Schizosaccharomyces pombe: one gene and its partners. The protein of the gene in region 3 interacts with the protein of the main gene of each other region in a biochemical or structural test. Each region holds a gene or a part of one and is shown on either strand. Other genes may lie near its edges.

Evidence for each region.
Region 1: the proteins of rrn7 (region 3) and cka1 form a complex in vitro, tested with the Schizosaccharomyces pombe proteins (one study listed by BioGRID).
Region 2: the proteins of rrn7 (region 3) and tbp1 form a complex in vitro, tested with the Schizosaccharomyces pombe proteins (one study listed by BioGRID).

Annotation. Positions count from the first base shown.
Region 1 is NC_003424.3:2,149,754-2,154,816, forward strand, and holds cka1 (serine/threonine protein kinase Cka1), read left to right. Parts: upstream 1-2,283; 5' UTR 2,284-2,400; coding exon 2,401-2,446; exon of another isoform or gene 2,447-2,506; coding exon 2,507-2,787; exon of another isoform or gene 2,788-2,790; intron 2,791-2,945; coding exon 2,946-3,258; intron 3,259-3,319; coding exon 3,320-3,621; intron 3,622-3,714; coding exon 3,715-3,771; 3' UTR 3,772-4,470; downstream 4,471-5,063. Other genes in the region: alanine--tRNA (Ala) ligase Ala1, read left to right, coding at 1-328; 3'-5'-RNA exonuclease Mpn1, read left to right, coding at 871-991, 1,031-1,129, 1,177-1,375, 1,427-1,589, 1,633-1,848; hcn1 (anaphase-promoting complex TPR lobe accessory factor subunit Hcn1/Apc12), read left to right, coding at 5,042-5,063. UniProt on the Schizosaccharomyces pombe protein: Catalytic subunit of a constitutively active serine/threonine-protein kinase complex that phosphorylates a large number of substrates containing acidic residues C-terminal to the phosphorylated serine or threonine.
Region 2 is NC_003424.3:4,413,251-4,417,744, reverse strand, and holds tbp1 (TATA-binding protein (TBP)), read right to left. Parts: upstream 2,267-4,494; 5' UTR 2,199-2,266; coding exon 1,996-2,198; exon of another isoform or gene 1,741-1,995; coding exon 1,680-1,740; exon of another isoform or gene 1,628-1,679; coding exon 1,367-1,627; exon of another isoform or gene 1,297-1,366; coding exon 1,126-1,296; 3' UTR 594-1,125; downstream 1-593. Other genes in the region: SPOM_SPAC29E6.09 (uncharacterized protein), read right to left, coding at 1-275; SPOM_SPAC29E6.07 (uncharacterized protein), read right to left, coding at 2,571-2,921; SPOM_SPAC29E6.06C (cysteine--tRNA(Cys) ligase Crs1), read left to right, coding at 3,826-4,494. UniProt on the Schizosaccharomyces pombe protein: General transcription factor that functions at the core of the DNA-binding multiprotein factor TFIID.
Region 3 is NC_003423.3:2,755,398-2,760,179, reverse strand, and holds rrn7 (RNA polymerase I general transcription initiation factor subunit Rrn7), read left to right. Parts: upstream 1-1,896; 5' UTR 1,897-2,197; coding exon 2,198-2,308; exon of another isoform or gene 2,309-2,372; coding exon 2,373-3,875; 3' UTR 3,876-3,901; downstream 3,902-4,782. Other genes in the region: GARP complex subunit Vps52, read right to left, coding at 1-541; tif512 (putative translation elongation factor eIF5A), read left to right, coding at 946-1,419; protein Spc24, read right to left, coding at 3,902-4,008, 4,139-4,474, 4,522-4,675. UniProt on the Schizosaccharomyces pombe protein: Component of RNA polymerase I core factor complex (CF) that acts as a sua7/TFIIB-like factor and plays a key role in multiple steps during transcription initiation such as pre-initiation complex (PIC) assembly and postpolymerase recruitment events in polymerase I (Pol I) transcription.

The sequences.
Region 1 (5,063 bases), on a different chromosome or scaffold from region 3:
TATGTCATTTGTTGTCGCTAAGGTCCCTATTTCTGCTAATCCCAAAGCCTTAAGTTTTGCCCTTACTTATGCTAAGAAAAATTTGAAGGATAAAAGTATTTACTTGTTAGCATCTGACGATACTAAAGTTGCTCATGCATGTCTTGTTTCACCTGAGGCCATGAAGAAGTTAACTCCACAGGAGTGGTCTCAAAAAGTTTGTCACAGTATTGGCGGTCGCAGTGGAGGAAAAGGTGATACTTGCCAAGGTGTAGGTGATAAACCTCTTTCCATCGACGTTGCAGTGGAGGAAGCGATTGAGTTTTTTCAAGGGAAGTTGACGATTTAAGTTTCTACGTTATTTTGTACTCTATCTTTCATTATCTTCTACATAGGCTCAACTTTTTGTTTGTTTTATAGTCCGAGCATTTTAAAATTGCTCAACAATTTCAATCATTATACATAAACTCATCGTAGGCTTAAACGTCGAGTGTTTACTCAATGAACACTTCTTAATTTTAAGCGATAGTTTGAAAATTACAATTTCCCAGCCGCGTGTTATTGTATTATTAAGATTATGTGTAAAGCCTGAAGATCACGATTTCCTATTATTTACTGCTAGTCTGTCACGCTAATACAGCATACTTATATGTACAAGTCTGAACAAACCTACCACTGACTTCAAGAGTGAAAGGATAGGTTTATTGCAGTTCATATGAAATCGGGATTCTAAGCAAAAGCTTATGTCTATTCGAATACATACTAATAACCAAACTATTACAAAAATTTTTGCATGAATATCTATTACTATTACAGGCCATTTCTACACCATTCCTTGAGAAAAGAAAGTAGCCATCTTTATTATATTAATAAAAAAAAATAGAAGAATAAATGTCTTTAGTATGTTATGAGAGTTCGAGCTCCGGAGAAGACGATGACGAGACAATATCTGATAATCCCCGAATGTTAAAAGTCCCTAAGCTCCAAGAATCATTTCACGAACTTTATAAGAGTAAGAAGGTTTTAATGTTTTGATAACTCATATTCTTAGAAAAGCCAAAAACTTTTGATAGTCCTGAGTTTCATGAGGGTCGAATTCGTGGACAAAAGCATATTGAAGGATTGTGGTTTGTTCAAACATATTTGGAGGGTAATAAATCAATTTTTATTTAACAAAAAGTTGACAATTATCAATAGTGGATTTGAGCAAGAAAGTTAAAAAAGGCATTCGTGAGTTTTTGAATTCACAAAGTCGGTTTCAATCGCTTCTTTGCTCTGAGCATAATGTACCAAGAAGATTACATTTAAGCATATCTGAAAACTACCGCATAAATTATTCCACTAAGAACCAATTAGTGCACAAATGGGAACAATATACAAACAATTTGAATTACAGGTATACTCAGGACAAATAATCCATACTGTTGAGACTGACATATTAAAAAAGAACTTTAAAATTTCGACTGGGAAAGATGTGTCTACTATTTAATGACGAAAAAACAAGAATGTTCCTAGCTTTCGAATGTAAATTCAGTGACGAAAACTACAAAGACTTAATAAGTCATGCTAGTGACTGTATGAAAGAGTTTACAAATAGGAATTTGAGAGAGGTAAGTAAAGGTTCAAATAAGCGACAATTTTAACGCCTTCCAGGACTTTTTACTTCACATATCCTTTGCTTCATCGTTGACAAATGAAGACGAATATCAAAATTGGGTCAGTCAAGACAGAGAGTCCCATTTTTTTAAAACGATGAATGAAATTATTAATACAAAGATTCAAAAAGATCAATTTTCTGAAAGTTTTATCGTTGATAGCTTAAAGTTGTCAATTGGACATCTAATATTTACCTTTCCATTTTGTAAATAATTTATTAATTGGGGCGATAATAATATTATTACAATACTCGTTTACGAAAGAATATGCTCAGCTTCAAATCAATTGGTCTTAGGAACACAAAAAGTGATCATTAGCAATTGCATTCAGTTTTGTTACAAAGCATGCGGACTAAAACGTATGAAGGAAGAATAATTTCAAAAAAATTCCTTATTAGAAGCTTTAGTATACTCATTTTCGTCTTCTGTGATCGGATTTTGATTGCAACGTTTATCAGTTTTTTGTTACATTTCTTCTCACTAGAAAACAATATCATAACTATATTTTCACTTGTTTGGTTTATAAACTTAAGCCATATAGCGCATTAACTTGTTTATATTGCTATATTGCTTGTAACGGAGCTTAAAACACTTTGTTAATTTTCACTAAGCACTCTCTTTGCACTTGCATACACAAGACCTGCCCTTCACCAGCTAGCTTGCTAAACAAATTTTTTGGGTTCCGTTTCATATAAAGGATTTTGCATTAACATAGAGGGAGCACTCTAAGAAAAAAAAACGTGAAAGCTGAAAGGTGCTACTTACAATGAACCAGACTGAAGCGGCTCCAGTCGTCTCAGTTTCCCGGGTTTGTACGTATTGTGAAGTTCAAATTTATAAAAAAAGGATAACAAATGACTAATTAGATTTAGATGCTCATGTTAATGAGGAGATGCCCCGTGAATACTGGGACTACGAGAACATGCAGGAGGTATTTGGATATCAGGACAATTATGAAATTATTCGGAAAGTAGGAAGAGGAAAATATAGTGAAGTTTTCGAAGGATTAAATGTCTTGAACAACAGCAAATGCATCATCAAAGTCCTAAAGCCTGTAAAGTACAAGAAAATCAAGCGTGAAATAAAGATTCTACAGAACTTGGCCGGAGGTCCTAACATTATCTCACTGCTTGACATTGTCCGCGATCCAGAGGTAAGAATAAAAAAAAAAAGCTTTTTGTATTGAATCGTCTTGAAACTTGAAGGAGAAGAAATTTTGTGCTTTTCCGTCTATTGAGTTTATACGACTCTGGCTTTTGAACGTTTGATATCCATCAAACTATTGTATTTGTCGATACTAATATTTTATAGAGTAAAACACCATCTTTAATTTTTGAATTTGTTGACAATATTGATTTCCGTACATTGTACCCTACTCTTTCTGATTATGATATTCGTTATTACTCTTACGAGTTGCTAAAAGCTTTGGATTTCTGTCATTCTCGTGGTATAATGCATCGTGACGTTAAGCCTCATAATGTTATGATCGATCACAAAAAAAGGAAGTTACGGCTAATTGATTGGGGTCTGGCCGAGTTTTATCATGCTGGCATGGAATACAATGTTCGTGTAGCCAGTAGATACTTTAAGGGTCCAGAACTGTTAGTAGATTTTCGAGAATATGGTAAGTTGCATCCACTTTTGTTAAATATATTTACGTTTCTTTTTTCCTAACCAAACTTTAGATTACTCCTTGGATATTTGGTCGTTTGGTGTCATGTTTGCTGCTTTGATATTTAAAAAAGATACTTTTTTCCGTGGGCGGGACAATTATGATCAGCTAGTTAAAATTGCCAAAGTTCTGGGAACTGATGAACTTTTCGCTTACGTACAAAAATACCAGATTGTGCTGGACCGACAATACGATAATATTCTTGGTCAGTATCCCAAGCGGGACTGGTATTCTTTTGTCAACCGTGACAACAGATCGCTTGCCAATGATGAAGCAATCGATCTGTTAAATCGTTTATTACGTTATGATCATCAAGTAAGTTACCGAACCTGAAGGTTTTTACAGGATCTTATACAATCACTTATTTTTTTAAGTGGTATATACTGTATAGTTACTAACTTAGCATAGGAGCGTTTAACTTGTCAAGAAGCTATGGCCCATCCGTACTTTCAAGTACTCAAATAAGAACTGAGGGAAGGGACTATAACTCAATTATCTCTACGGACAGCCTTTTCATTACTAGTTCCCTTCATTTTCATAAAAATGAACCAAATCCAATTCTAGTTTTAATTCTGGTTCATGTTTTATTATTCTTTTCTTATTATTAGACTTGAGTATTCCTCTTCATTTACGTCGGTGATAATTTAAGCTAATATTTCTTGCCCAAACGTTATCATCTCCCACACGATTCCTCGAAACGGTTCTTGCATAAGTACATCCTACTATAATATTGCTTTCACGTGGCGGAGCCTTCCCACTACTTTTTCCCCGTACCTACTCGTTAGACACTTGGTCTACATAGTGTCTGTGTCTATTGCTTTCCCTTACTCAAATTAGAGTTTTTTTTATTTTTAAATGCTATCGGGCTTACTAAACAGGTTCCAATTCTATAGTTTTCTTTAATACTTTAAACGAGTTTTTACCTCTTTAGGTACCTAACAGCTTTATTAATAGTAAGTAACTCTGCGTATTATGCATAATGAATGCAATCTAAAGAAGCGATGGAAATGAATATGCGATATTTCATGAATGAAAAGTAAAGCCTTAATTAGAGAGCAACCTTACAAAACCTCTTATTCTGTAGCGTTAATCTTGCGCAGCTGCTCATCCTGAACTTGTTGAAGTTCAATGCTCAAAACAATTGCCTTTTGTAAATTCATTTTACTGTATTTAACACATATTAGAATTCATCATATTAAAAAAAATGATAATGTCATAAACTAGGGATGAACTTACAGGAATTCGCATTTATTCAACACTGATTCCAAATGAAACAGTATTTGCTTTTGAACCTCAGTCAGCATGCCAAAATTTGCACCAAAATCTAATTCAAAAGAATGTGTTGTGATCTTTGAATTCGGAAAAAACAACTTTACTTATCTTACTTGGTAAAGTATATTGTTTAACCAGGCAAATTTGTTAAAAAAGGAGTAGTTTACCTCTCGCTTTATGCGTATTTATGGTAAAACAAGTATAAAACACTATAACGCGGTAGCTCAATCTCTCGCTTTTAGAAAATACTTTACGCTACGATCCAAATAAATGGGTTAACTTGTGTATCGTCTACCAAAACAACACCTAAAACAGCGTGTTTTATCATTGCATTGCAACTAAGGTGAGTTTCTTTCTTCCTCTCTTGCTTTTTCATCCTTGAATGTAAATAAAATTCAATCAAGCTGAATATAAATTTAATAACAGACCACATTTGTGTACTACGTTTGTTAGTATCTCCAACATGTTACGAAGAAATCCTACGG
Region 2 (4,494 bases), on a different chromosome or scaffold from region 3:
CCATCGTCCTGCTTCAGTGGGATAAAGGAATACTCGACTTGTTGCTTCGATTTCTCATTTTGAATTTCTAAAGCAGATAGTAATGTCTCCACATTATCATCCTTTTTAAATACTTTTAATTTTTTTTCTGTGGGAATTGGTTTTGCTGATGTTTCATCCTTAAAATCATAATCTTCATAAACTCTTTTATTCGCCTGGCTGTCCGATGTTAAATTCGACAATTGCTCTTCAAACTCAGTCCCTTTAAATATCACTTCAGGAAGTTCAGACAACATTTGGTTTTTTTTTATATGTAAAAAGCGATTATATTGCAAATCGCGACTTAGTTAGATGTTGGCTGCTTCTGCTTGCTATACAAACTCATTTTATTACTCTTTTTTTAGGTGCCACAGGCTCGTCGTTATTCGATTACCGTATTAGTGTTCATGTTTACGCATTTCCTTCTATTAGCGCTATTAAGAACTTAAAGTATTTTACAGGAACAGCAGATACTCAGTTCCTTTAAACTCCATAGTATCATAATCGTCTAATTTTCGAATGGAATCAATACTTTTTAAGAACTGTCGATATACGCTCTTCAGACTAAAACCAAATTATTTCAATTTTTAAAAGATTATTATTATTATTACACGATCATGAAAAAATGAATTATACAAAGCTATACAGAACATTGTACCGATTTGGCCACCAGTCCTGAAGCTAGAAGATTTAATGAAGCAATGCTCAACTAATGTTTAATGATAAACACAGAGGAAAACAAGTAGTATCGCGAAGACACTTGCACGCACTTTTAAGAGCACACATTCATCAACTGCAGGTTTTCAAATAAGATACGCAATTTCAGCCTCTATAGTTTTCTTGAATAAAGCTGTGTTGCGCCGTAAAAGAAGAAACTCACAGATCAGTTTCTGATTTTGAAGAAAAAACTTTTCAAAGGATGTCTCTATCATCTGCATCATATAAAAATACTCATAAATGATGACTTACAGTGAAGGGGATTCTCCGGAAAGCTTTTTAAGGGTTTAATGTTAAAGATCAAAAAATAACCTGACCCCGACTAAGGTCTTTTACCCAACAATACCCATGAACATTGACACAAAACTGTGTGATAACTGTTGACATGCCTTAATGTTTTCGAAATTCAGACAATACTGGATAAATGGCTTCAAAAGCTTGGTAAATTTCCTCACGGACTTTCGCACCAGTTAAAACAATTTTACCAGAAACAAAAATCAATAGAACAACTTTTGGTTTTACCATGCGATAAATCAAACCGGGAAACAACTCAGGCTCATACTAAAAAAGAACAGTTAGATACTTATTCGTCTTTTAACAGCAACAACATCTTTAAAGATGATGAACTTACAGATGAGAAAGTACCGTGGGAGTAAGCCAAACCTTCCAAACGAATTGGAAATTTAACATCGCAACTTCCTACAATGTTCTGAATCTTAAAATCCGTGAACTTGGCATTAAAACCGAGTTTTTGGATGATACGCGCATACTTTCTAGACGCGAGCTTGGAGTCATCCTCGGATTTGCCACCCAAAACAACCATTTTACCAGACGCGAAAATCAATGCAGTAGACTTGGGTTCACGGATACGCATAATAACAGCGGCAAAACGCTATGTTTGGTCAATAACAGACCTCAAACAAAATTAAAAGGGTTTAACGTACTTTTGGGTTGTATTCTGCATTACGTGCATGTAGCGCAATAGTTTTGAGATCAAGACGACAGCTATTTTAAGAGGATTATTAGTAATAAGGTCTAATTTGCTAACTCAATGGAAAATTTTGTTAACGAGACGTATCATCCCCTGCGGTCATTGCCTTCGGAAATCTCGTGACATGGTAGTTAAATATAAACAAAACAAAAATCAAATAACCATTAACAATCGCTCTTACCCAAACGCCATGTCTATACAAAAGATTTCCGATGAACTCACCGCGACGGCAATACGCCTTGTTCCCTATCCAAAGAGGCACGACTTACTCTAAGTTTACAGTAGCAACAATATTTTGAAGGGTTGGAACAATGCCAGATACACCTTCATTTTTTGAAACTTCTGCATCCCCGGAATCTGCCGTCTCATTTGTAGCCTCGTTATTGGCATTGGGGAGAACAGGGAACGTTAAAGAAGAGTTATTCATAAAGGCACTCGCTTGCGAGGCCGTGGTGGGTAAAGCGAAATCCATTGCAGTAAATCAATTATTATTTTACGCTACTCGTAGAATTGCGTTATCCCACCCCTAATGGAAAGCCTGCAGGTGACGGCTGCTGCACTTATTTATATATACCCGATCTTTCAGGGTTAGGGTTTCTGAGTGTTGTGAAACCGCGGCGATGGCTGAATAGTAAAGAAATGCGCGATTTTTTATTTATAAAATACGTTTTTACAACTTTCTTATTAGCTTCTATGTATAAATTTCTCGTTTACAAAAAAAAGTCCTTCAAACGCAATACGAACGAGATATAGACGAAAATGAGTATAGGAAGTGCAAAATAAAGTACCGCATTTAGTCTAGAAAAGCTGAATCAAGCTTTGGTATAAAATTTGAACAAAGGCACTAGCTATCTAACCAAGTAGTTGGTTGCTGGCGATGTAAATTTTTTGTGTGCGCAGGTGGAAGGATGGTACGGAGTGAGAGCTGCGTCATATGCCCTTTCAGCAGTCTCGACGCTAACGCTTCACTGTATTTTGTTATATGGATTAACGCTGTTGGTCGTGTCGTAGTTTTTATAAACAAAGGAGAGGTGTTTATTCTCACGTGTAGTAAATAAAAAAAATATACTATAAACAAACATTGAGGGGAAAATAATCTAAGTTCAAAAAAGAAACTGAAGCATTTTCTTTTATTTTTTAAAGTCTTAACATCCTGAAAATCTGTAATTAGCGTTTCACGAATATAGTATTCCATCGCTACTTGTTATTTTATCATTCAATTAATAAAATGTGAAATTGCAGAAAGAAAATATAAATCGATCTGAGTTTTTTTTTTTTTTTTTTTTTTTTTTTTTAATTAAAGAAAACAAAAACAAATCATTAATCCCTCAAGTCTTTATAAGGGTTTTCTTAAACTATAAAAGAAGTATTTGTTTTAAACGGTATCCAAGAGACGATAAACCATTGTTAGTCTTTTGAGATAAATGTCATTCTTTGTTATAATAACCTCCTGATGCATATTAATAAATTGTTCTAAAATATGATTTCAAAGTTTCTTTGTTAGTAATTTAAAGTATCCTTTACAGAAAGAAATAAGATAACATGATATTTACTTTTTGAAATGTAAAATTCAAATTTTTATCTAATATCAATAACTTGACAATGTCATTCAATTAAATGGCTTTAATGCAAAAACTATAGAAGATCTGTAATGAAGGCAGAAACATATGAGGACACCAGAGTTGTTTAAATATTTTCGATTCAACAAAACTAAGATTAATACGGATAAGACATTTTCAAAGCATATCAATTGGTATGCTGAGATGGAAACCAACAACTTATTTGCAATAATATCGTCAAAAAAAAAAAAAAAAAAAGATGAAATAAATCTATTGGCTACTTTACTAGTTTAATATGAGGAAAAATATAATTAGGTATTGAAATTTTGTTTTTATTTTTTGTTTGCAAAATGTTTTTGCTTGCTTAGTTCAAGTACTAACAATAACCTGTAAAATTGCGCATCAAATACTCCGTTATCTTAATTCAGGTTATCCTGCCAAATTTTTACCCAACTCAACGACAAAATAATCAAAATCACGATTTTTAAACTCGTGGCTCGTTGTTTCAATAGTTCTAGTCGCTTTTTTAATAAAAATCTAATGTCGACTAGAAATCCCGCTCAATCGCATTGGGGTGTTCCTAAAGGACAAAGAACGGAGCTCTATGTATACAACACCTTAACTCATAGCAAGGTGCCTTTTGTTTCAAATGGTTCCAACTTAACATGGTACTGCTGTGGACCTACGGTATATGATGCTAGTCATATGGGGCATGCTCGTAATTATGTGACAACTGATATCCTTCGAAGAATCTTACAATCTTATTTTGGATATAACATTACATTTGTACAAAACGTTACTGATATAGATGACAAAATTATCCTTAGAGCTCGTCAACAATATTTATTTGAAGAATATAAAAAGCAGCAAGGTACTAACAAATCCCATTCAGAAGCTCGTGAAAAGGTTACTGAGGCTTGGTTTGCATATGCCAAGAAAAATCTTCCTGAACCTCCCTCCTCGATGAGTGAATGGCCTCAATGGCTCGCATCCCATGATATTCCCACTTTAGCTATCAACAATCCCAAGTTACCCATGCATGTGGATGCTTTAAAGTCTGCTTTGGACGCTCTTCAGGTGAGTGAAGCTTCTGAAATCATTTCTTTGGATGGGTTTTGGCCCAAGGTACAAGATGTTTTGGTCCCATTGCTTGATGCAGAATTGGGTAGCACCGTGACTGATCCTGCAATCTTTCGTAAACTTGCAGCT
Region 3 (4,782 bases):
GGTAGTAGTTTTTATTTGCAATGAGTCGATGCTTTCGGATTGGAAACACGTCGACAAACGCTTGACGAAACATCTTGATAGTAACGACTATATAGTTTCTAATACGTTCAATTGCTTTATCTCTCAACTTATCTACAAGTTTTTTCTGGTCTTTGTTAATTTGGAGAGAATTGAACATGTTACCAAGAGATGAATCATCCTCTCCGCCTTCCAAAAACGAAGTTAGTTTTTCTAATGCAGAATTCCAACTGGGATGATCCATGTCTCCTGTAGATATGGTTTTTATAAGATCAGGTGGAAGAATCGCACCATCAATCTCTGCTCCAAGTGCTGACTCCACTGCCTTCAAATTGTTTAAATTTACTTGAATTTTGTTTGAGCGCTCACTGACTTTGTAGATATCACTAGTAGCGACATCCAGATCCACCTGGAATCGCTCCAAAGAGCTCAGAACATCATTCAACACTGACTTGAGAGAATCAAGTTTGTTTAGATCATCACCACTTCCATCATAAACATCCTGGGTAGAAGCTCTCTGCATGCCGGACTTATTATACTGTACCTATAGATGTTATATCTCAACGTGACAGCTGCATCCCAGAACAAATGGAAGGTATAATCCTGCAAATAGTTAGTTTGGTAAGTTAAGGAGGGTTAAGTTTAATTTAGGTGTTGTTTATCACCCTGGTTTCGGCGCTTCCATCAGTGTTAAGCCTGAACAATTTAATGTAATCTAACGATACGTCAAATAATTATGATGAGTTACTTTACGAATTTTAACGTTGCAAAGGTATACTTCAAATAACATGTATTACGTTTTACTTCACTGCACTTAGTTTGGTTGCTTTAGGGTAGGGTTAAAGCAATCTCACATGGAAAAAGTAGTCACATTTAACAAATGGGAAAGTGATGGGCATGTTCATACAGAAAGAGCATAAACCAACAATGGCAGAAGAAGAACACGTCGATTTCGAGGGTGGTGAGGCCGGTGCCTCTTTGACCTTCCCTATGCAATGCTCTGCTTTGCGTAAGAACGGACACGTCGTCATCAAGGGCCGTCCTTGCAAGATCGTCGACATGTCCACCTCTAAGACTGGTAAGCACGGACATGCCAAGGTCCACATTGTTGCCCTTGATATCTTCAATGGTCGCAAGTACGAAGATATGTCTCCCTCTACTCATAACATGGACGTTCCTGTTGTCAAGCGTGACGAATACCAACTAGTCAACATTGATGATGGCTACTTGAACCTCATGACTACCGATGGTACTACCAAGGACGATGTTCGTCTTCCCGAAGGCGAACTCGGCAACGAAATTGAAGAGGGCTTTGAAGAGGGTAAGGATTTAATCATTACCGTTGTCTCTGCCATGGGTGAAGAGATTGCTCTCGCTTGCCGTGATGCTCCCAGCGCCTAAATATAAACCCTCTTCCCTTTAAAAATGGTCGTTTAGTAAACAAGTTTTGCTCCTCCTTTACCATATTCATTGTTTGTTTAACGATTTTTGTAAATAGAATGTTCTTTGGAATCTGTAAACGTAAGACTTCTTATATATCTGATAGTTTTAAGATAAATTAGATTATGGTTATATATTCGTACTACGGGTATGTATCAAACTGCTTGATGGCTGTTATTTTCTCTTTTAAATGTATCAGTAGCACCTTTTCTTCAGCCTATTTTAACTTTCCTCAATTTTTATCCTAGTTTCAACCTTTATGTCTCAAGGTTGGATACCCGAGGTAATATATAATCTAGAGTGGACTTGCAGTTTTTATATAATGGCTTTTCACAATAGTTAATCAATGTATGCACTATCTACCAAGCCGTTACAACTCATATGTATTAACGTGGCGCCCGTTAGATCTCAAAAACTGCCTATCGCTACTGACTGACTAACAGTCTACTGTGATACATTTGTGAAGGATTTATCCAAAACTATATAAACGGTATTTCGCAGCTGAAAGAAAATCTGTTAGGTTTTTTCAGTCGATTCATACTTTCCAAAATATTGGTAAAATGCTGGCATAGCAGTTTATAAATAACAACACCGTTAGAAACTGTGCAGATCTTTTTACAAATGCTTACCTACTTGAATACCCTTTAAGTGTTTTGTTCTCTTATTTTTCTTCGTCTATAGTTCACTGTTTGTACTTTTAAATAAGTCTGCATCTATTTGCATATCCAGTTCCTTTACAATGGAAGGCAATTGGTTTGAAGGTCCGCCTTGTTCTGTAAGAAACTGCAAAAGTACTTGGTATTTTAAAAATGCAGGTCAAACATTTTGTCGTCGTGGTCATGCTCAACATGTAAGTTGTTTTTAATAGGTTTGCGCTTTAATGAATGTTCATTAATAAAATTGTTAAATTTTAGGGAATTGAAATCGCTCAAGATGATGAACCTGGTGCAGGGACTTTTTATCAAACTCGTAAAAGAAAGGTTGTTCGCAACCATCTAGACACTGGAGATGAAGATGAGATTGTTTATGGTACCGCTGGTAGAAGCTTATATCTTCAGGCTTTTCAAATTATTCTTCAACTTCAATGTCAAGCGTTAACTACGAAACTCGGATTTGACCAAAGAATAGAAGGCATGATACGTGACCTTTGGGCGCTTTACCTTTCCCTGTCTTATGAATCATTTACTTCTAGTTTTCTTTCCCTCAACCAAAATTCAACGCAATCAGAATCATCAGATTCGGATTTTGATCTCATAGATCCTGAGAGTCAACCGGGAGCTGATCCGAGCTCAAGAAAAACGAAGGAAACTTCTCAGTCGCATTCTATATCTTATCCTCGGCTTTTATACTCTTCTGCCTTTATTTATGTCGCCTGTCTTTTACTAAGACTGCCTCTGACCATTCATAAACTCGAAGTTTTAATAAGGAAAAATATTATTCCATATTATAGAGCGTATAAACAGATACCTCTAAAAATATTTAAAAGGCTTCAAAAAAACTATGTAAGGATGCTAATTCCTTTTCATTATCCAACGTATCAACGCATACAATCCGCTGTCTTGACATTGGTTGACGTTTTAGTATCTAAATACGAACTAAAAGTTCCTCCACCTAATGAGCCATTGATACTTTTTGAGCTTATTAACAGTTTCTTTTTTCCCTTAGAAATCTTCATACCTGCTTCTCGTTTACTAAATCTCGTTCACTCGCAGATTTCACTTCAAGGTACCTCTAGCGATAATTATCAAAGCAAAATACGCAGTGCTCAATCGATACATGAAAAGTTATCTGATGCGGAGGTTATGTTACTCGCTACCATCTTAGTAGCAGCAAATGTATGTTATGGGTTTGATGATGCCCAAACTCGAAATTCCAAATACAAAGACTCGATGTTCACTGTTAAAACCAACTGGAACATGTGGTTATCCCAAGTGCAAAAAATTAATGAGAAAGAAAAAGACAAGTTCTACGAGATAGACGAGCAATCCATTTTGACGCTCAATAACTCTGAAATGGATAAATATTTTCAATGGTATGAAAAAGAGTTTGTCGAAGAAAACAACCCAAATAATATTCCAGAAGGAATTCTTAACGTATTTCCGATTCTTTCGAAAGACAGCCATTTACAAGAAAATCAACCTACAGATATACTCACCGACGAATCCGTCATTGCTGAAGATGTAAAGTTAGAACAAGTGTTCAAACCTGTAGGCATTAAAGAGTCTGATAAAATGGACTTTTCACGACGAAAGGATGCTTATATATCAATGCTTCCTTTTTCACCTAATACAGAAAATACAGCTCATCGGGTTACTATCATGGTAGCCAAATTGTATAATATCAAATTGGATTCTCTTATAGCGGCCATTCGTTATGTTGAGTCATGTTTAAAAACCGGTATACACAATCAAGATTAAATAAATAAATAAAATAATAGTGCCATCTATTTTTTGTCCTTACTATCATCAAGCAAATCCCAAAAATAATTAGAATAAAAATATGGGCTATACTTGTTGCTGATTTGTACCGTTTGCAAATCGTTTTCGGTATCTAGGAAAGTGTGAGTAGATTCGAAAAACAGTTTTAAAGTTCAATTTTAAAGCTTGAATTTTTCATATCATCAAGCTTTTTAAAGATAAAAAATTGAAAGGTAAATTCAAATTATGAGCAAATGACATACGTATTATAACCCTTTTATTCCCAGTGTTCTCAGCAGTTTCTAAATCGAAGCCTAAAGAATGATAAAAGTTCAGCTTTAACATATTCGCATTTTCCTCTGACTGACATATGTCTTCAGAAGTATTTTCGCGTTCCTCAAGTTGTAGTAGCTGTTCCTTCATTTTCTGCAATTGAGATTCTAAACTCATAATTTCGTTCTCAGTGATATTCAACAACTTGGCTATCCTAAATTTCTCCTTTTCCCTGCTTAAAATCTCCTCAGCGTGTTGTGATGACTCTGCTGTTTGTTTTAATGACTCCATAGCCTGGGTAGATATTTCTAATTTTCTTGAAAGCACTATTCACAGTTAATGCATGGTCGTTTATTTCTAGATTAAAACTAACCTTTAAATTTGGTTTGAGATCCTTCCAATTCTTTTTCTCTGAAGCTCTGTATCTGTGCGCGAATGTCTTGAATGTTTGAGATGGTTTTCACATCTGGTGCAATTTGAAAACCAGCAAGCGTGGACCGCATAAGTTCAATTGGACTGTCTGACATATTTACTTCTCTTTTATTTATGTTCTTTTGTGTTTAAAAAGTAATTTCTTTGAAAACTTTCAACGTGGTCGTAACGTACGAAAAGGTACGAATGATGCTACCGTAAA